Oryctolagus cuniculus: one gene and its partners. The protein of the gene in region 4 purifies or fractionates together with the protein of the main gene of each other region. This does not show direct contact. Links are inferred from orthologs where the notes say so. Each region holds a gene or a part of one and is shown on either strand. Other genes may lie near its edges.

Evidence for each region.
Region 1: the proteins of ARPC5L (region 4) and CAPZB purify together in Homo sapiens (co-immunoprecipitation; 3 studies listed by BioGRID and IntAct, with this or other methods). This does not show direct contact. The link is inferred for Oryctolagus cuniculus from reciprocal best matches to the Homo sapiens genes ARPC5L and CAPZB.
Region 2: the proteins of ARPC5L (region 4) and ARPC3 purify together in Homo sapiens (affinity purification with mass spectrometry; 7 studies listed by BioGRID and IntAct, counting the BioPlex papers as one, with this or other methods). This does not show direct contact. The link is inferred for Oryctolagus cuniculus from reciprocal best matches to the Homo sapiens genes ARPC5L and ARPC3.
Region 3: the proteins of ARPC5L (region 4) and ARPC2 fractionate together in Homo sapiens (co-fractionation; 7 studies listed by BioGRID and IntAct, with this or other methods). This does not show direct contact. The link is inferred for Oryctolagus cuniculus from reciprocal best matches to the Homo sapiens genes ARPC5L and ARPC2.

The regions. Positions count from the first base shown.
Region 1 is NC_091438.1:151,245,925-151,250,983, forward strand, and holds part of CAPZB (F-actin-capping protein subunit beta), read left to right. Parts: intron 1-870; coding exon 871-1,012; intron 1,013-1,789; coding exon 1,790-1,906; intron 1,907-5,059. UniProt on the Homo sapiens protein: F-actin-capping proteins bind in a Ca(2+)-independent manner to the fast growing ends of actin filaments (barbed end) thereby blocking the exchange of subunits at these ends.
Region 2 is NC_091452.1:8,107,946-8,113,004, reverse strand, and holds part of ARPC3 (actin-related protein 2/3 complex subunit 3), read left to right. Parts: intron 1-2,338; coding exon 2,339-2,415; intron 2,416-3,853; coding exon 3,854-3,922; intron 3,923-4,500; coding exon 4,501-4,627; intron 4,628-5,059. UniProt on the Homo sapiens protein: Component of the Arp2/3 complex, a multiprotein complex that mediates actin polymerization upon stimulation by nucleation-promoting factor (NPF).
Region 3 is NC_091434.1:21,103,385-21,108,443, reverse strand, and holds the end of ARPC2 (actin-related protein 2/3 complex subunit 2), read left to right. Parts: intron 1-724; coding exon 725-825; intron 826-970; coding exon 971-1,071; intron 1,072-3,560; coding exon 3,561-3,585; 3' UTR 3,586-4,025; downstream 4,026-5,059. UniProt on the Homo sapiens protein: Actin-binding component of the Arp2/3 complex, a multiprotein complex that mediates actin polymerization upon stimulation by nucleation-promoting factor (NPF).
Region 4 is NC_091432.1:228,724,003-228,728,488, forward strand, and holds the end of ARPC5L (actin-related protein 2/3 complex subunit 5-like protein), read left to right. Parts: intron 1-1,332; coding exon 1,333-1,405; intron 1,406-1,940; coding exon 1,941-2,117; intron 2,118-2,300; exon of another isoform or gene 2,301-2,395; intron 2,396-2,944; coding exon 2,945-3,007; 3' UTR 3,008-3,470; downstream 3,471-4,486. UniProt on the Homo sapiens protein: May function as component of the Arp2/3 complex which is involved in regulation of actin polymerization and together with an activating nucleation-promoting factor (NPF) mediates the formation of branched actin networks.

The DNA of each region.
Region 1 (5,059 bases), on a different chromosome or scaffold from region 4:
CTGAAGTCCTGTCCACACGGCGCTCCCTGGTGGCAGCCTTGAGAACAGAGGTGGGGAGTGTCCGCCCCACAAGCCACGTAAAGCCCATAGGCAGGACTCAAATTCAGCAGATCTGTAGCAGGCTAATTTTTAAGTGGGTAATTCTGTATAGCCTGCGACTGAAGTTGCAGATACCCAACGGCCCTTGGTAGAGAAGAGACTCCCCACCCTGCTCTGGAATGTCACTGTGCCCAGGCCGAGTGGGTCGGAGGCGCCAGGGGCATTGCGGTGAGGACTGTGCTGGCCATGAGGGACGAGCACCCAACTCGGGGGTCTCCCTCACAGCGGCCTCAGCCCTGCGGAACAGGCGGCTTTGGGCTCTTGGATTTGGGGTCCCGCCTGATTGGCCTTTTCTTTCCGTCCCATTTGTTCGTGACTGGGAATTTTTCCATATCGATTGAGATCAGAGGAGGAGGCTCCAAGCTGGACCCAGCCCTTCACTGAGTCTTTCCCAGGCTCTGGAGGAGTTTGCTGCTCCCATCTGTCCTGCAAAGAGCCGTCTAGAAGAAGGAAACTGGGGCAGCAGCTGCTCCAGGAGCCGTGTCGCACCCTGCGCTGCGTCCCCCGTCTGGGAGGAATCTGAGTCCCTGAGAAGGCAGAAGGGGTGTCAGAGACCACAGAGCCGCAGCCCTGAGACCACAGAGCCACAGCCCTGAGCCCACGCTCTCCCCGCGTCCCTCCCCAACCTGGGGCACCAGGACACAGCCAGGGATCCACCCCGGGACCTGTGCAGGGTTGTTCATCCCACACTGCCAGGCGAATCGCAGCTGAGGGGCAGCCGGGACCTGGACTGGCCATCTGTCTCCTGGCTCACGGGCCTGTTTCCTGCAGGTATTTTGAAGGTGGTGTCTCATCTGTCTACCTCTGGGATCTGGATCATGGCTTTGCGGGAGTGATCCTCATAAAGAAGGCTGGAGATGGATCAAAGAAGATCAAAGGCTGCTGGGATTCCATCCACGTGGTGGAAGTGCAGGTACAGCCCCCGCAGCAGCCGGCAGCCGGGCCTCCGGGTGCAGCTTTGGCGCTGGGGACACTGATGAAAACCCCTGCTAATTCCTAGAAACACCCCAAAGCCGATTGGATGCAGATCAGTGAGGACTGAGTAGTCGTGGATCATAAGGTCCCAGCGAACTCGGCGTACGCGGTTACAGATGCAGCCCTTTCAAAAACAGCGTGGGGTGGGTGTGCGGCACGGCAGTCAGGATGCGACTTAGGGTCCTGCGCCCCGTAGTGGAGTGCCTGGGTCCTCCCCGCTCTGCTTCCAGTTCCAGCTTCTTGCTAACGCACACCCTGGCAGGCTGGAGTACCTGGGTCCCTGCCACCCACATGAGAGACCCAGATTCAGTTCTCAGCTTCTGGCTTCGGCTGTGCCCAGCCCTGGGTGTTGAAAGTGGGGAATAAATCTCTCACGCCATCTTTTGGCTTTTCAAATAAAATAATTAAAAACATTTCGGGGAGTCCCTCCCTTCCTCCCCCCCCCCCCTCTCTAGAAAGCTACAGATCTCCCCGTTGGTGTTTCTCTCTCCAGGTTATCTGTAACAGCCTGGGCTGTGCCTGGCCAAAGCCAGGAACTGGCACTCAGTCCAGGTCTCCCACTTGGGTGTCCCTTGCTGCCTCCCAGGGCAGATGCGAGGAGGGAGCTGGATCCAGCATAGAGTACGGGCATGCCAGATGCCCACCCCAGTGGCCATGGCTGAGGAGGGAGCACTTGAGCGTTCCTCGGGCTCTGATCTCTCGTCCTCCCCTGCAGGAGAAGTCCAGTGGCCGCACTGCCCACTACAAGCTGACTTCCACGGTGATGCTGTGGCTGCAGACCAACAAATCCGGCTCGGGTACCATGAACCTCGGAGGCAGCCTTACCAGACAGGTAGTGTCTCCCTTCACTCAGCCCAGCGCACACTCCAGCTCCGCCCCCGAGCGGCCATGGCTGCCTCGCAGCGCTCGTGGGCTGCACTCCCTCGGCCCCCTCTCTGGCCATGAGCAGCCCTGTGGTCCGGTCAGCCCTCGGCTTTGTCAGGAGCTTGTTAGAAACACAGAGCTCTCAACCCTGACCGGTCAGCTTCTCCTGACTTCCGCTCTCGATGCTATTGGTGAAGCGTCAGAACAGATAAGCTACCTTTGGCAAGCCTCACCCATCCTGAGAGAAGGCATTCACCTGTGCCCAGTGCAGGGCGGCAGGACGCTTGGGGTGGGGCAGAGGGGAAGCCCAGACCCAGCCCACCCCAGCCTGGGAGGGAGCTGCCTTCGCCCGCCAGCGCGGATGCTGTGTTGGTGGAAGTGCGGTGGCCTTGGGCGTCCAGGGGAGCTCTCTTCTCCCGTCCCTGTTCCCGTTCTCGTCCGGCCTGCTCTCCTGGACAAGGGTTCCTTTTAACATCAAAAATCTTTTCAGTAAGATAACTGTACTCTTAGTTAGTTGCTGTTGATAGAAAAAATAACATAGAGCAGAAAGGATTGATTCGGTAACCCTCTGAAGTGGATTTGTAGTCACGCGGTTGAGACGGTGCCTGGGCGTGGCATACCTGAGGTGCAAGGGCCGTCCCACCGGGCTGGAGGCTGCCAGGTTCCTGGGGTCCCCGTCTGGCCTCTGGCACCAGGGCTCACAGGGCAGGGCCTGTCCTCTCATGTGGGATGGCTCTTGCCTTCTGGGGACCAGTGACACGGGAGGGGCGACCAGCCCTGCCACAGGCTCCTCCCCCACTCCGGCCACCTGGCAGTCGGGTGCAAAATCCTGGCTCCGTATCCGGAGACTACTTCCTGCATCACTTACCGCTCTGCACTGTTTATAGTTCCACCCGGTCTACAGTGACCTGGACAAATATTTAGTCCTCGGCCTTCCTAGTAGTTTAAATCAGAGCTGTCAGCCCACGGCCAGCGCCTGGTTCCGGCTTGGCGTGCAGGGTGCTCCTGCCAGACCAGACTCGGGCCTGACGAGCAGCTGTCCTCAGAACACCTCAGGGGGCCACCGGCCTGCTCTTGCCTCTGCTCTGGGAGCTTTAGCGAGAAGACCCTGACTCCTGTCGTCATGTAATCACCTGCGGTGCGTGGCAGCTGGGGCCGTCTCCAGTGTCGGTCACTAACTGGGGGGTGCAGTGAGGTCAGTGAGCCTGAGTAGATGGCACAGATTCTGAGCAGCAGGCGACGCAAGGGCCGCGGGCTTCAGCCGTGCGTCCCGGGCTCAGCCTTGGCCAGGTGCCTCTGGTTGCCTTGGCAGGTAGGGGGCTGGAGGAGCGGCAAAGAGGTTCCCGGCGGATGGAGGAAGCCAGGGAGCGTGTGCAGACCCTGTGTGGGGCCGGCTCCCCAGGGAGGGTGCGCAGACCCTGTGTGGGGCCGGCTCCCCAGGGAGGGTGCGCAGACCCTGTGTGGGGCCGGCTCCCCAGGGAGGGTGCGCAGACCCTGTGTGGGGCCGGCTCCCCAGGGAGCGTTGCAGACCCTGTGTGGGGCCGACTCCCCAGGGAGGGTGCGCAGACCCTGTGTGGGGCCGGCTCCCCAGGGAGGGTGCGCAGACCCTGTGTGGGGCCGGCTCCCAGCAAGGACAAGCGCAGGAGAGCCAGCGTTCCCATTGAACAGGGAGGAAGCAGGTTCAGGCTGGTAAGGGCCTCTCCCATGCTGACTCAAGCAATAAGAGGCAAAGCCTGGATTTGACCCTAGATTTGTTGACTTCCCCTCACCGCCCCCGAAAAAAACCCACTGCTTTCTGCCACGCCACACTTTTGATTTTTGGGGGGGGGGGCCATACTAGTTTTTTGTTGTTGTTGTTTAGTTGGTTTTTTGGGGTTTTTGGGGTTTTTTTTTGAAGATTTATTATTTATTTGAAAGGCAGAGTTATAGAGAAAGAGGTCTTCCATCCTCTGGTTCACTCCCCAGATAGCTGCAGTGGCCGGAGCTACACCGATCCGAAGCCAAGAGCTTCTTCCAGGTCTCCCACGCGGGTGCAGGGGCCCAAGGACTTGGGCCATCTTCTGCTGCTTTCCCAGGCCATAGCAGAGAGCTGGATCAGAAGTGGAGCAGCTGGGACTTGAACCAGCACCCCTATGGGATGCCGGCACTGCAGGCGGCTTTACCCGCTACGCCACGCGCCGGCCCCGCTTTTGGTCTTGATCTGTCCCCGGTGGCTGATGTTCAGCAGATGCTAAATAAACATTCGAAGGGAAATACTCTGAATATGAAGCTCAACAGAGGCAGAAGCTGCTGAGCCAGCTGCCCGAGCACTTGTGCCAAGCGGCTGCTGTGGCCCGTGGTGTCGGGCGGGCCTGTGCGGGGCCCACGGCGGACCCCAGGGCGAGGTCGCCCCGAGAGGTGCTGAACAGCACCGCCCTCGGCTCCCTCCCGCGGCTGCCTTTGACGGCAGGAAGCAAGTTGTCCGGCACGAGACGCGCTGGCTCCGGAGGTGGTGAGGAGGGGTTCCGGACCAGGTGTGCCTTTGTCAGAAGGTGGCTCTGCCAGCCGGCATGGGGCAGGGGCTGCAGGCAGAGGCTGCTGGTGTCGGTGTCGTCCATGAGAGCAGTGACGAGGGCCTGGGCTGGGCAGCCCTGGGCGGCCGGAGAGGAAGGAGCCAGTGAGATCCCTGAGGAGACAAGGATCAGCCGAGGAGGTGGGAGATAACAGCACAGAAAGAGGTCGAGGCAGGAGTACAGAGGGCAGCGCCGAGTGGGAGACGTTTCGGCGTAGTGGGGTCAGGGTGTGAGAGAGGGGGGCAATCAGGAGCCTCCTGCCTGGAGCTCCCCCACGGTGCAGTCCTCCAGGGACGCCCGGCCTCCTCCTCCCCCGCCCCCGCCCCCGCCCCAGCTCATACACACTGTGCACAGTGTCAGGGGGGAAAGCCATTGTGTCGAGAGCCGTCTCTCCAGGCCCATGCTGCCGGGGTCCTTCTGCCTGGGGCCTTCCCAGCAGAAGGGCTGTGAGTGATGCACGCTGGCCACTCCCCTGCCTCAGGCGTCCAGGCTGGGCCCTTGTGTCCTCTGCGTAAGCAGAGACAGACAGAGATCTCCCATCTGCTGGTTCACTCCCCAAATGCCTGTGA
Region 2 (5,059 bases), on a different chromosome or scaffold from region 4:
ATCAGCCCAAAATTACCTGGCCTTTGTAATCTTCCTTGAGTTACATAATGACAACTTAAAAATTCCCCACCTAGAATCTTTGGAATATAATTTATCTTCAAGCAATTTATTCTTGGGTCTTTTTACAGAGTAGATAGATTTGCCTGATTCTTAATTTCTGATACCCTCTAATACATGAGTAAGTTCGTATTTCCTCCTGAGTCATCACTCAGAAATGAAACTATCTGTGGGCTATTCCCATACATTAAGATACTCATTGGGGCCGGCGGCGCAGCTCAATAGGTTAATCCTCCGCCTGCGGCGCCGGCACCCCAGGTTCTAGTCCCGGTTGCTCCTCTTCCACTTCCAGGCCAGCTCTCTGCTGTGGCCCGGGAGTGCAGTGGAGGATGGCCCAAGTGCTTGGGCCCTGCACCCGCATGGGAGACTGGGAGAGGCACCTGGCTCCTGGCTTTGGATCAGCATGGTGCATAGACCGCAGCGTGCTGGCCGCAGTGGCCGTTGTGGGGTGAACCAACGGAAAAGGAAGACCTTTCTCTGTCTCTCTCACTGTCCGCTCTGCCTGTCAAAAAAAAAAAAAAAAGATACTCATTGAACTCCAGACACGCTCTCAAGATAAAAATCTTGGGCTGACACCAAGGCTCAACAGGCTAATCCTCCGCCTAGCGGCGCCGGCACCCCGGGTTCTAGTCCCGGTTGGGGCATTGGATTCTGTCCCCGTTGCCCCTCTTCCAGGCCAGCTCTCTGCTGTGGCCTGGGAGTGCAGTGGAGGATGGCCCAAGTCCTTGGGCCCTGCACCCCATGGGAGACCAGGAGAAGCACCTGGCTCCTGCCTTCGGATCAGCGCGGTGCGCCGGCCGCAGCGCACTGGCCACAGCAGCCATTGGAGGGTGAACCAATGGCAAAAGGAACACCTTTCTCTCTGTCTCTCTCACTGTCCACTCTACCTGTCAAAAAAATTAAATAAATAAATAAATAAAAGGATAAAAATCTTAAGGGGTCGGCACTGCGGCATAGTGGGTAAAGCCACAGCCTGCAGTGCCAGCATCCCTTAAGAGCACCGGCCCCTGCTCCTGTATGGGAGACCCAGATGAAGTTCCTGCCTCTTGGCTCCTGGCTTTGGCCTGGACCAGCTGGCTGTTGCGGCCATCTGATGAGTAAACCAGCAGGTGGAAGATTCTCTCCTTCTCCCCTACCCCCGTAACTCTTTCAAATAAATCTTTAAATAAAAAAACAACAACAAAAAAAAAACCTGGTGCTGGCGCTGTGGCATAGTGGGTAAAGCTGCCACCTATAGTGCCATATGGACACTGGTCCAAGTCCCGCTGCTTCACTTCCGATCCAGCTCTCTGCTGTGGCCTGGAAAAGCAGTAGAAGATGGCCCAAGTCCCTAGGCCCCTGACCCCACATGGGAAACCCAGAAGAAGCTCCTGGCTTCAGATTGGCCTAGCTCTGGCTGTTGGCAGCCATTTGGGGAGTGAACCTGCAGATAGAAGTCCTCCCCCGCACCCCCCCCCCCCACCTCTCTCTAACTCTGTCTTTCAAATAAAACAAATCTTTTTTTTTTGGACAGAGTGGACAGTGAGAGAGACAGAGAGAAAGATCTTCCTTTTCCATTGGTCACCCTCTAATGGCCACTGCAGCCGGCACACCGCGCTGATCCGAAGCCAGGTGCTTCTCCTGGTCTCCCATGGGGCGCAGGGCCCAAGCACCTGGGCCATCCTCCACTGCACTCCCGGGCCACAGCAGAGAGCTGGCCTGGAAGAGGGGCAACCGGGACAGAATCCGGTGCCCCAACCGGGACTAGAACCCGGTGTGCCAGCGCCGCAGGTGGAGGATTAGCCTATTGAGCCACGGCACTGGCCAAACAAATCTTAAGAAATAAAAATTAACTACATACTTTATTTTCTAGAAATTGTTTTACAGGTTTTATTTTAATAGCTTCATTTAAAAAAATTTTTTTATTTGAAGTGCAGAGAGAGATTTCCCATGTGCTGTGTTTCATCTCCAAATGCCTGCAGCAGCCAGGACTGGGCTAAGCCAAAGCCAGGAGCCTAGAATTCAGTTCTGGTCTCCCTTGAGGGTAGTAGGGACCCAGCCGCTCCCGGGAAAAGGCAGGGAGCAGAATGGAGAGACACAGGCCTTCTGATACAGGATGTGGGCGTCCCAAGCAGTAGCTAACTGCTGTGCCACGTATGTGCTCCCTGCTTTAATTTTATTCACCTATAGAATTGTTGACAGTTGATCCTGGATTTATTTTTTTTATGGTTTTTACAGGCTAAATTACAGTTTGCAGTTGACTGATTTTTTCTTCCCTCCTTCCCCTTGTTATCCTGCTTAGCAAAAGATACGGATATTGTGGATGAAGCCATCTATTACTTCAAGGCCAATGTCTTCTTCAAAAACTATGAAATTAAGGTAAATGACAGAGCTTTTAATATTTCACTTTAATTTTCTGATTAGGGTAATCTCTACACTGCAATGAGTTGCCATGAAGAGAAAATGCGATGTGAAATTGTGATTCTTAAATTCTAGAACACTGTCTGGTATTAGATTCTGTGAAGATACTGGTTTCTTTTTCTTCCTCCAAAGTCTGTACCAGGGTTGACAGACTACAGCCTGAGGACTGAATCTGGCCCATGGCTTCTCGTAAATAAAATGTCATTGGAACACAGCCTGGCCCTCAAAGCCTAACTTGTTTGGTTTCTGGCCCTTTGTAGAGAAAATTTGCCAATTCTGGTGTAAAGACATTTTAGCATTAATTTAGCACCTACTGTGTGCCAGGCCTGGTGGGTAGCATTAGCCCACAAGTGAGAAATCCTCCTGGCTGTGTAATTTTGTTAGTATACGTGTGTGCCCTGAACCTGAGAAGGGGAAGTAGAGACTTGAGCGACCCTGGTCCTGCCCCACTCTCCCCTCTCTCCTCAGTTCCTGTGACGAGGGAAGGAAGGGGAGGGTCACGGACGAGGAGGAGGGAAAATGGAAACCAGGTTTCCTGAGCTCTGCTCTCCAGGTTACCAGGAACGGCGGTGAGATGAACTTCAGCCTCCTCCTTGCCAACTTTGACCTTTTGAAATCAAGCAGGATGTAAAATCTTTATTTATAGATTCCTGATCTATAAATTGTAGTCCAAACATTTTGTGATATTAACAGAGTGTTTTCTTTGTCAAATACATGGCCCACATGCTGTGTTTGTAGTAGGTGTAAATAAATATTATTCTACCACACTTTATTTCCTGGTCTTAAAAACAGGGAAACGTGTAGGTTTCTTTTTGTTTTTTCAGCTATAAATACGAGCAAAATGTGATCTCACGTCTGCCACATTGGATCAACATCCGTTCGTCTTCTCCACTTCTCCTTTTGCTTAGCTCAGGACGCCAGGCTTAGGGAGTTCTTCAAGAACATGTCACACGTGAAGTAATTGCTTCCTCTTTTAGAGTAATGAATGTTTCTGTTCTTGGCAGAGATCCTGAAATGAAAGGGTTTTTAAAAATTGGCCAGCCATATGGTGCACCTCAGGTTATTCAGGCAGCCTTGTTCATTCTCCTTCCTACGCAGGGTGAGGGGCTGTTGGCACAGCTCCCCGGGACCGGGGGTGAAGGGAGCTGAGAACAAGAGCCTCCACAGAGCTCGGGTGGAAGCCCTGGCCCTGCCCGCGTGCACAGAGGGAAGCCTGACTGGGAGAAGGGGCCTCGTGTGCCGCAGCAGTATATGTGTGTGCCCTGAACCTGAGAAGGGGAAGTAGAGTCCAGGCTTTCAGTAGATCATCCGGAGATGAAGATTGATTCCATTTGTTGGACGGAACTGCTAGGTTTTCGTCTGTACTGTTTGCTGAATGTTCTTTTCCTCTCTGTAGAATGAAGCCGACAGGACCCTGATATATATAACTCTCTACATCTCTGAGTGTCTAAAGAAACTCCAAAAGGTAATGGATTAAGCTCGGGAGAGTGCCGACAGTTGTTTATACTCCCAGTCGTTTTTTGTGTGTCGCGACTCCAAGGACAGCTAGGAAATACTCCCTTAGACTTGGACATGATCTGAGGAGGAAGACCCGAGTGTAGCTCTCTTAATTCCCAGTGTGAGTGACTGTGTTTTAAGCTGCATACGTGTGTGTTTGCAAGACGCAAACCTTGACAGAGAGACTCCGTTAAGCCCTGGGCTCAGGTGTTCTTCACCTGCAGACCAATGACTCAGGGGTCCGTGAATTTGAGTGGGGAATAAGCTGGGTTTTTCTTTCCATCAACCTTTAGCTGAAGCGAAGCACTTACTTCCGTTGTTAATGTTGGCAGTAGCCCCCAGTAGTATCAGGAGTGCCGGTGACTTTCTCTCACAGAATTCATGCTGTTTCCATTTCACATTAAACTCAGAACTTTGTTTACACTCCTCACTACTTCAAAATGGAGTTATTAGGCCCCATGCCAGAGTTTGGTGAATTAATAAAAGCAGGTGTGAGACCATGTCATATATATATATTTACTTATTATTATTATTTTTTTTTTTTAGTGCAATTCCAAAAGCCAAGGCGAGAAAGAAATGTATACACTGGGAATCACAAATTTTCCCATTCCTGGAGAGCCAGGATTTCCACTTAATGCAATTTATGCCAAACCTGCAAACAAGCAGGAAGATGGTAAGAAGGGGTCTGTGTCCTTTCTTTCTAAGATTTTATTTATTTAATATTTATTTGAAAGGCAGAGTTAGAGGCAGAAGCAGAGAGAGAGAGATGTCCTCCATCCGCTGGTTCACTTCTCAGATAACCACGACAGCCAGAGCTGGGCTGATCTGAAGCCAGGAGCTTCCTCCTGGTCTCCCCCATGGGTGCAGGGGTCTAAAGACTGGGGCCATCCTCCGCTGCCTTCCCAGGCACATTAGCAGGGAGCTGGATCGGAAGTGGAGCAGGTGGGACTCGAACCGGCGCCCACCTGAGATCCCAGCACTGCAGGCAGCGCTTCACCCGCTCCATGGCAGCACGGCCTCCATGTGTGCTTTCCTTGTGGCACATGAAGACCCTCTGTGGCTTCCAGATTGACAGTGGACTCACGGGGACGTGTGTGGTCGTGCT
Region 3 (5,059 bases), on a different chromosome or scaffold from region 4:
GTGGTGTGTCGCGGTGTAACTTGCAGCATTCTCTCTCTGGTCCGGGAAGTCGCGGTAAACTTCCCGCCATTTGCATCTCAGATTCTTTGAAATGCAGGTTTCTGCTGGCCAGGCAGAGTGACACAGGAGCGCCACCCTTTCTTAGGAGGCCTTCCTTTTCAGTTCAGCAGAACCTCACAGGCTCGGGCGCGTGCTGTTAGTGAGACCAGTGAGCAGAGGCAGAGGTGCAGAGCATTCCAGAGGCCACAGGGGAGGAGGACTGCGCTGTGACGGCACGGGCCTGTGGGCAGCCCTGCTCGGCACCAGCCAGAGCACCAGCTGGCCTGCCAAGAAGCCCTGCGTCCTCCTTCCCTGGTGTGGGATACCCTCTGGAATCTGTTCTCTGTACTTCAGTGAGGACCCTGGCTCCTAGGGTAAACCGTGAGCGTCCCTGGTGGCTGGCAGACGGGGAAGACACTGTAGTACACGCACCACAGAATCTAGACCCAAAATGAACATGCGGCTCAGGCCTTTTCTCTCCCATGAGCCCCTCTGTGCTCATTGGTGCCTCCCCTGGTTGTGCTGCTTATCCCTTCTTGCGTCAAGCAAAAGCCCTGGACAGAGCCTGGGAGTACTGCAACAGGTAGATTGTGGCTAAGCAGGGAAACACTGCAGTTGACTTGCGGCTACTGTTTGGCCCCACCCTGACCCTGACGCCTTGTCTGTGTGTCACCCCTCCCCCCAGTGCTGTTCCCTCGCCACACCAACGCCAGTGCCCGAGATAACACCATCAACCTGATCCACACGTTCCGGGACTACCTGCACTACCACATCAAGTGCTCTAAGGTGAGGGGGCACCAGGGGCTTAGTTCCTGTGACCCAGGGCTTTGCCTGCCAGAGCAGAGAGCAGAAGTTGTCCTTGAAGTCAAGAATCTTAGCTACACAGTTCAGAACAGGGCTGGGCTTCAGTATCTGTTGTGTTTGCTCCCAGGCCTATATTCACACACGTATGCGGGCAAAAACGTCTGACTTCCTCAAGGTGCTGAACCGTGCGCGCCCAGATGCTGAGAAGAAAGAAATGAAAACAATCACGTGAGTCGGGCAGGACCACCTCCCCCTCCTGTGCTCACCAAGAAGTGAATAGTGGGTGTCAGAGGCCTGGTCCTGCTGGTGTCTGGGTGGTGGGTACCTGGAGGCTACGGCTCCCGGACAGACTGGAGATGGGAGAGTCAGGTTTTCACTATTGCTGGCCGGAATGGGTTTCCTTGTTTCCACTTCTTTTTGCGCTGTGAGAAAGTCAGCCAGGAAAACAACAGAGGCTTCATTTTTCTAGGAAAAGCTTGTCTTTAGGCCCGAGCGGAGAGATCAGTCTTGTCCTCGTGGTCTTCCTGGAGAAATGGAGGAAGTTGCTTTCGGTCCCTTAGTCAGTAGGCCTGGAACAGCAGCCCCTGAGTGTTCTTCCTGGCCTGCTGCTCAGCCGGAAGGTAATCAACACAGAGAGGAGGGGCGACGCGAGGAGCGCTGCCCAGGACAGGCAGAGCTGTAAACTGTGTGGCTGTATAAGCAGGGGGCCAGCATGGCCAGCGGCCCAGAGGGGTCAGTCTCTGGGAACAGGGCCATGTCGTGGTCTCCTCGTGGTGACATTCACAGCCCTGCTCTCCTTATCTACGGTAGTGGCACTTAAACCTCCTTGCTTTTGTGCCCGTGGAAGTTATTTTGCTTTTGTGATCAGCAAAGCACCCCTCACAGCCCAAGCCCTCTCTCCTGGCCCAGAAGCCTCTTCCACCAGGCTCGTTTCCACTGCCTTTCGAAAGGTGGAGAGAGGGCTCTGGCAGAGTACCTGAGCAGTAGGTCAGGGTTTTCAGCCCCAGAAACATGAGACGTTTGTGCCCAGCAGGTGGAGTCATCGTGACTTCTTTAGGCGAAGGCCTTTCTCCGTATTAGCTCTGTGCCCGCCCCGCAGAGCCTTGGGAACGGCAATCAGCCGGCAGATAGAGCCTCTGCCGAGGGAGCTGTCCACACGCCATGTGACACACGGCAGCTTCCTTCCTCCTCCGCAGCTTCTTGGCATCTCCTAACATGGCCAAAGCCGGGACCAGGGTGGGAGGCGAGGGGGTGCGCCCTGGGCCGCCTACTCCTGCTGCCCCTCCAGAACCTTCTCTCCAGCCTGGCATGTGTAGGTCCCCTTTCCCCGCCTGCTCCTACGGGAGTGCTTTTCTTGCTAGGCACCATTTTGGTGGCCTCGAGTAGAAGGCAGCCACTTTCATACTGATTCCAGGGCCTGGGAGAGCCTAGGCGGTGAACCAACAGCTCAGTATAGCCTGGGGGAAACTTGACCTGGGCAGCCTGTATAACCAGAGAGGAAAGAGGAGGAGGGAGGCAAACAGCGGCACCCACCCTGGAGGTCAGATCATGTTACTTACAGGGGATAGATGTCGGTCCCGGGCTAGACAAGCTAGGACTCCAACACCAGAACAAGAGGAGTCTGCAGGAGCATGGACCCGGTGAAACTGGGAGACCCAGGGCCCTGGAGCAGAAGCTAAGCCTAGGTCAGCACTCGTCAGCGCTCTGCCCACTGTGGAACCCTCGGAAGCTCTTCATCTGCGGGCAGCATAATCCAAGCGTTTCCTTTGGGGGCAAGGGAGACTTCCAGGGCAGGCAGAATGGCACGCCCTTATTTTTGCTCTGATTCCCCTCAGTTCTCAGCTCTCACTTCCAGGCGGCTTTAATAAGTACCCATAGCTACCAGTTACCAGCCTGGCTCTGGGAACCAGCTGGTCCTCCGTCGGAAATACGAGGTGCAATGGGATACAACTGCAGCCTAGAAAACCAGCAACTGTTCCCTGGGCCAGTGTGGCCAGTGTGGACAACAGAAGGCCGCTGACCTTTGTGTTGATTACGTATTGCAGAGAGAGCTGCTGTGTGTCTGCTGGCTCACTCAGGTGCCTACAACAGCCAGAGTTGGGCCAAGGCTAAGCCAGCAGCTGGAGCACAATCCAGGTCTCCTCCTGCCCAGGGTGACAAGAACCTAACTACCTGAGCCATCACTGCTGCCTCTCAGAGTCTGCTTTGTCAGAAAGCAGAAGTCAACCCAGGAATCAAACCAGGCAGTGTGCGGGACGTGAGCATCCCAACTGCTAGACTAAATGCTCCCTCCACCTGGAGCTTGTGAGGATTGCAGTGGTAGAAGGTTCAGGAACTGCTCTGTGGGGGCCCTAAAAGGTATAGGCTGCATAGGAGGAGCCCGAGCTGACTGGTAGATACTAGGAAGACGGTTGAACCCAGTCCAGTCGGAACTCAGGGACACCCACGCCATCCAGAATGGACATGCGGTTCTCCCGTCTTACTGATACAGTTCATTCCTTCTGGGAGACGGGGCCTGGTGCTCAGGGCATCTGGTCAGCAGGAAGAGGCCGTGAAGCTGGTCTGTGAAAGCCGGATCAGCCTCGCCTGTGGCCCCAGGGCCTCTGCCTGAGGCACCGAGCCCTTTCCACCTCCTGTTCAGTGTCATTGGGGTCCCATCCCTAGTGGAAGGAAAGGTCAGCCGGAAACCAGCCTTCACTCTTACTCTCCTTTTCAAGGGGGAAGACGTTTTCATCCCGCTAACTCTTGGGAACAGGAGGAGGAAGCGGCTGGCGACTGAAGGCTGGAACACTTGCTACTGGATAATCGTAGCTTTTAATGTTGCACCTCTTCAGGTTCTTAAGGGATTCTCTGTTTTGGTTCCATTTTGTACACGTTTGGAAAATAATCTGCAGAAACGAGCTGTGCTTGCAAGGACTTCATAGTTCCCAAGAATTAAAAAAAAAAAAAAGGAAAAAAAGAATTCCACTTGATCAACTTAATTCCTTTTCTTTTATCTTCCTTCCCTCACTCCCCTCCCTTCAACCTCTTTTCCAAGCTCTTCCGCTTTGCAATATGTTACTGGTAATGAGTTGCAGGATAATGCAATCTTAACTTGTTTTCTCCTAAGTGTTTGAGTTCAAAACTCCTGTATCTAAAGAAATACGGTTGGGGTCATTAATAAAGAAAATCTTTCTATCTTATGTGAGAATTTGCTGGGTTTCTGGACTGAGTCCAAAAGAGAGGGGAGGAAAGACAAATAGACTGCGCTGCACTTGAACCTGCAAACCTGAGCTGGAGTTCAGGGTCAGGAGCTCATCAGGTCTAGAGCCTCACTGCCCTGCAGGAGAGAAGAACGAGCTAGCGAGCTGTAAACAGCCATGTGCTACCTGGACAGGCGGTGGTGGGCAAATTAAAGTGCTTTCCAGTACTTCCCAAAACGTGTCCCATTAGCATGGTTCTGTGGGACATTGAAGGGTATCAGGTGTGGATCTGACGCCAACAGACCGGCCAGTCTCCCTTTCTCACACAGCAGCTGCAAGCCCGGCCCTCCACAGAACTCTGGGAAAAGCAGCACCCTGCAGAGCGCTCTCGCCCGCGGGACTCTGGCCCCAGAAATCGAATTGGTTCAGAGAATTTGCTTGGTGGAAAAGAGGTAGCGCTGGGAGAATGTCAGGGGCGCCTGAAATGGTCTGAAAGCTGCCCTAACGTTTGTCCTTATTTGAAAGAGAAACATCAAATAGCGTCTGCCTTACTACTTTTTCGTTTTCGCCATCCAGGGCAGTGTGTTTCATGCTGGTCCAAGAACCAGTACTGCAGTGTGCATTCACTGGACTGCATCACAACCAGCGATTCCAATTGCTCAACTTTTGATCTTGAAGTAACCGTGGATTCACAGGTGGTCGTCAGAAAGACTGCAGAGACCCTGTGTAAACTTTCTTCCTGTGGGAGCACCTGTGTCACCACAGTGCACGGTCCCACTCCAGGGGTGCGACGCTGGCATCGTCCACCCACCTTTGTCCTTTGTGTGTGTGGTGGTTTCTGTGCGTTTTCGTAGATGAGAGCACAGGACACCTATGAAGGGGTAGATGTTGGTTTGGAAACACGTTTTAGTTCCATCAGCGCACCAGGACTGGATGGTAGAGGTGTCTTTTTACTGTCACAGTCAGGAAGTTTGGAAGCCACAAGCTGTTCCGTCACCAGACTTTGGTTTACTTCATTGAAATGGACTCCCAGA
Region 4 (4,486 bases):
TGCTGCCGCCTGTTCATGGAAGGCAGCCTGCTGGGTGCTCAGCACACGACCTGGACCTGAGCGGCAGCGAGGGATTGTGGGAAGCGCTTGGGTCTGGAGGCGAGCTGGACGGCTGGACCTCGCCACCCTCCAGCAGCTTCATGGCCTTTGAAACCAGAATAGCCTTGCTGGGAGGGGTTTTCCCCGGGATGAGCCGCCGTGCGAAAGCCCCTGGCGGGTCCGCGGAGTATCAGTTCCCTTTCTTCCTGGGCCGCCTGTTGAGAGCAGTGGTTTGGTTCTCTGAGAGGGCCTCAAGCCTGCGGGGTGCAGACACCAGCTTCCCAGGGGCGCCCTCCCTGCTGCTCCCGGCTGCTGCAGGCCTTCCCTCGACAGCCTGGTGCCACTGAGGGTGCTAACAGGCCCCCGCCCACCCCTCTCCCCCGACCGGCCTTTGCCTACCGTCTCCGGACGATTGGGTTTGCCAGGAGGGCAGGCTTCAGTGAAAAGCATGCGGGCCTGTGTTCCTGTCAGCCCGGGACCCCAGGTTAGAGAAGAGGGGCAGAGCTCATCAGCGCTGCTGGCCTAGGGACCCTGGTTAGGCTGGGGGGGGACTGCAGAGCTGAAGTGCAGGGGCTGGGTCGCCGCCCAGTCTGAAGGCAGCGGGGCGCAGGAGGCCCAGCCCTGTCTGGGGGCTCCGTTCTCAGGGGGCCTCGCCGCACGGCGCAGCAGACACCTGGTCGGGCCTGGTGCTATTTCTGAAGCTTGTGGCTGAAGCCAGTGTTTCACATGATGTAACTCGGTTTAAAATAGGTGTCGCCTTTGGGGACTTAACCCAGATTGTCATTTTCTTTTGCATGCTGGGTATTGGCAAAGAATGTGGTATCAGGATTGCCACTGAGGTTTGGGCGGGGCAGAGTGGCTCCTCTGTGGGCCGAGGGTTCTCACAGACTGGCAGTCGGACCTCTCTGGCCACGGTAGCTCCTGGAAGAGAGAAGCGTTAGTGTCTCTTCATTCCTTTAGTAGTGGAATTGATACAAAGCATCCGTGAAGAATTAGGAGACTTCCGGTTGTGCCTTCCTGCTTCCCTTTGTAGAGAGATGAGAGAGGCCTGTGAGTGCCCGGTGGGGGCAGGTGGGGCGCTGGGCGGGGCCCCTGGGACCTCACTGCAGTTGGCCCTTAGGGGCAGCTGCTTTGTGGGGAGGCAGAGAGGCGCTGCCTGGGGCTCAGGCAGCTCCAGGCTGTGAAGCAGCTGGGCCTCGGGATCCTCGTGAAGCGCCCCGGAGCGGTTCGGATTGGGCCCACGGTGCGCGCGGACACGCTTGGCCTGGCTGACCTTAACGGATGCTGGTGCACAGGGGACATGCTTCGGGCGTTCCACGCCGCCTTGCGGAACTCTCCGGTCAACACCAAGAACCAGGCTGTGAAGGTAAAGGGGCGGGGCAGGGCCCCGTCAGTGTGTGCAGCTCCCGAGGGCCTCCCTCCGGGGACTTGGCCCTGTTCTGCTTCTGTGGGCTCTGAATGCACAGGGAATTTACGGCTTCTCAGAGTCCTGTTCACACGGCCTGGAAAGAGGACAGATTACACTGCTGGCTGCGGCCTCCTCGATGCCGGGACGTGGGTCTTGACGGGGGCCGCAGCGAGTCAGCCTGTGTTCTCGAAGGGGCACCTCCTCCTCCACCGTCCGATCCTGTGGGGCCTCGCGCCTTGCTGGCGCCTGCCCAGGAAAGCACCTCCTCCATGGGAAGTGGAGGAACTCAGTTACTCGGTCATCGACAGGCAGTACTGCGTACTCTGAGCCAGTGGGAGAATCTTAGCCCACTTTTTTTAAAAAGCTGTCTGATCCTAGATCGAGTTAGAAACTGGGCAGTGCTTCTGGCGAGCTCCTCCCACTTGTGCCTACAGTGGGGCAAGGATGGGCCCGGCTGTGGCTCTGGGCCTCACGCGCGCTCTTTCCTCTGCAGGAGCGAGCCCAGGGCGTGGTGCTGAAGGTGCTCACTAACTTCAAAAGCAGCGAAATTGAGCAGGCGGTGCAGTCTCTGGACAGAAACGGCATCGACTTGTTAATGAAGTACATTTATAAAGGGTTTGAGAAGCCCACGGAAAACAGCAGTGCAGTGCTGCTTCAGTGGCATGAAAAGGTACGTGGACATGCCGGCCCCGTGCCCAGCCCCTGCCTCACCCCGGGCTTCAGCAGGCGCCCTGCGAGAGCCGGGGCCAAGCCTCCACTTGGGACCCTTGGTCCCCTCCCCCTCCCAGGGAAGCACCTGGTCGGGCTCTGCTGTCTCTGGTACACTCACTTTATAGCTGCTGCTTTGTGCCAGGCAGGACAGGGGGCCCTTGCTGTGTGCCATGGGTGCAGGTGACCAGGCGTGGTGTGGAGTGGCAGGGATGCTTCCTGGCTGGCTGGCGCGTCATGGTACTTTCTTTGCATTGGTGGAGTCAACTGCTGGGTGAGTGGGGTGGTCCTAGGATGAAGGCTGAGCCTCCTCGCCAGCTTGGAGGGCTTCTGGCCCCGGCCTCAGCAGGCCAGAGCGTGCAGTGGGCAGCAAACACGACAGTCATTTACCATGGCCTCGTCCGCCTGCCGCTCTTCACCTGGGTGCCTTCCGTCAGGCCTGCGTGCCCACTGCCCTGCCCCGCATGCCCCCTTGACAGGGGTCAGGCGCTGGGGGCGGGGCGAGCAGTCCCCCTGCGCGGTGTGGAGGCCACTCCAGTGGGCCGGTGTGCGTTCCTGTGCCTCGGGCAGCGCTGGCAGCCTGGAAGCGAGGGACTTGCTGAGAGAGGAACTGTGGCTCTGCCGGGCGTGCACGGTGCCTGGGCCCGGGCCACTCCTGCTGCCGGAGGCGGTGGTCACGTCGCAGGAGTCCTTTCTCCGAGGGTCGGCACATGCGGTCAGGCTGGGGGGCGTGGGCCCGTCGTGGCCAGCCAGGTCTCACCTGACACATTTCCTTTTCCTGCTCCGCAGGCCTTAGCAGTAGGAGGACTAGGCTCCATTATTAGAGTTCTTACAGCAAGAAAGACTGTTTAAAAGTCAAAGGACTTGTTACCTCGAGAACTTTGGATGCCCAGGCCGGTGCAGAAGGGACTGACAATGGACCACCTTCCTAGGAGCGCCCGACTCGACTCTTCCAGGACTCGTGGCCGCTGAAGTGTATTTTATTTTCAAGGTGGAGGGAGAAATCGTCTGTTTCCCAAATCCTCTGCAGGACCTGATCGTCTCTTTTGCCTTCGTCTACACAGTACTGCAGAACGGGCACTGGGACCGGACAGAGAGGCTGGCCAGCACTGGTCAGGTGGAGCTGTGCGTGCTGCTGGCTGAGGCTGGGGGAGGGATGGTTTGGGCAGGTGCAGACCCAAGGGCTGTGGTGAAAGGGACAGCTTGTGGGAAAACCCGAGTTTGTACAGACCCCTGACCTCCCGGGAAGGTGGGCTCTCGGGTTCGTTGTAAAGTGCCTGCTGCATCAATAAAGCTCTTGGCTTCTTAGTATACACATCGCGGTGTCTTGTCTCTGAAAGGTAGGGTGGGATGGGATGGGAACGAGAGAGTTTGGCTGTTCCAGGAACTCTGGACGGGCTCGAGAGTGTCCCTGCTTGGCCGCTGCGAGCCTCGGCTGAGAGGTTTGCTCAGTAACTGTTGTTCCTCACTCCTTTGACCTGGGTGTCACTCTGGAGCTCACTTAAGCGAATGCAGAGCCAGGCATTTGATGATCAGTCAGGTCTTCAGTCTGTGACTACACTTGGTCTGCGCTGAGGGTGGGCCTGAACACCCCTGGTTCCCAGCTCCGGCTCTGCTGGGTGCAGCAGCAGCGTGAAGCATCAGCAGGTTTTCTTTTCTTTAAGTATTTATTTGAGAGGGAGAAAGAAGCTGAATGAGAGCTTCCATTTGCTGCTTCACTCCCAAGTCCTGCCGTGGGCCCAAGCTCAATGCAGGCCCCCACGGGGGTGGCCAGGACTCAACAACTGTTCAGCATCGCTTCCGCCTCCCAGGGTGTGCACAGCAGGAAGCCAGAACTGGTAGCGGAGCTGGGATTCAAACCCAGGCACTATGGGATCTACTGTGGGATGTGGGGTCCCAAGCTCCTGCCCGGACAAGGGTTCTTAAAAGAACTAAAAGCCGGGCACAGGGAACAGCCAGTGGGTGCGAAGGAGGTGATGTAACCACTCACAGCAAGCCCTCTTTTCCAGCTCACGGGAGAGCTCTGCGCTGTCAGAGGTAGGGACCCGAATGCCTCTGCAAGCTCCTCTGACCAAAGCACCCCACCCCTCCCCGCTTTGTAGAATGACTGTGGTCTTTGGGCGGTAGGACTAGGCTGCTGGCTGCATTAAATTACACGTTCACCCAAACCTGGCTGAGTGGGGAGGGGTTCTTTCTGAAAGACAGTTCTGTAGCCCTTGAAGTACTGGAAACAAGAGACAATGTACTAGCAGCAAACCAGGCAAACAAGCACTGAGACAGCAAACCATCCAGGAAAACCCCCGGCAACTGCATCGGAATTGAAGCGCTTTA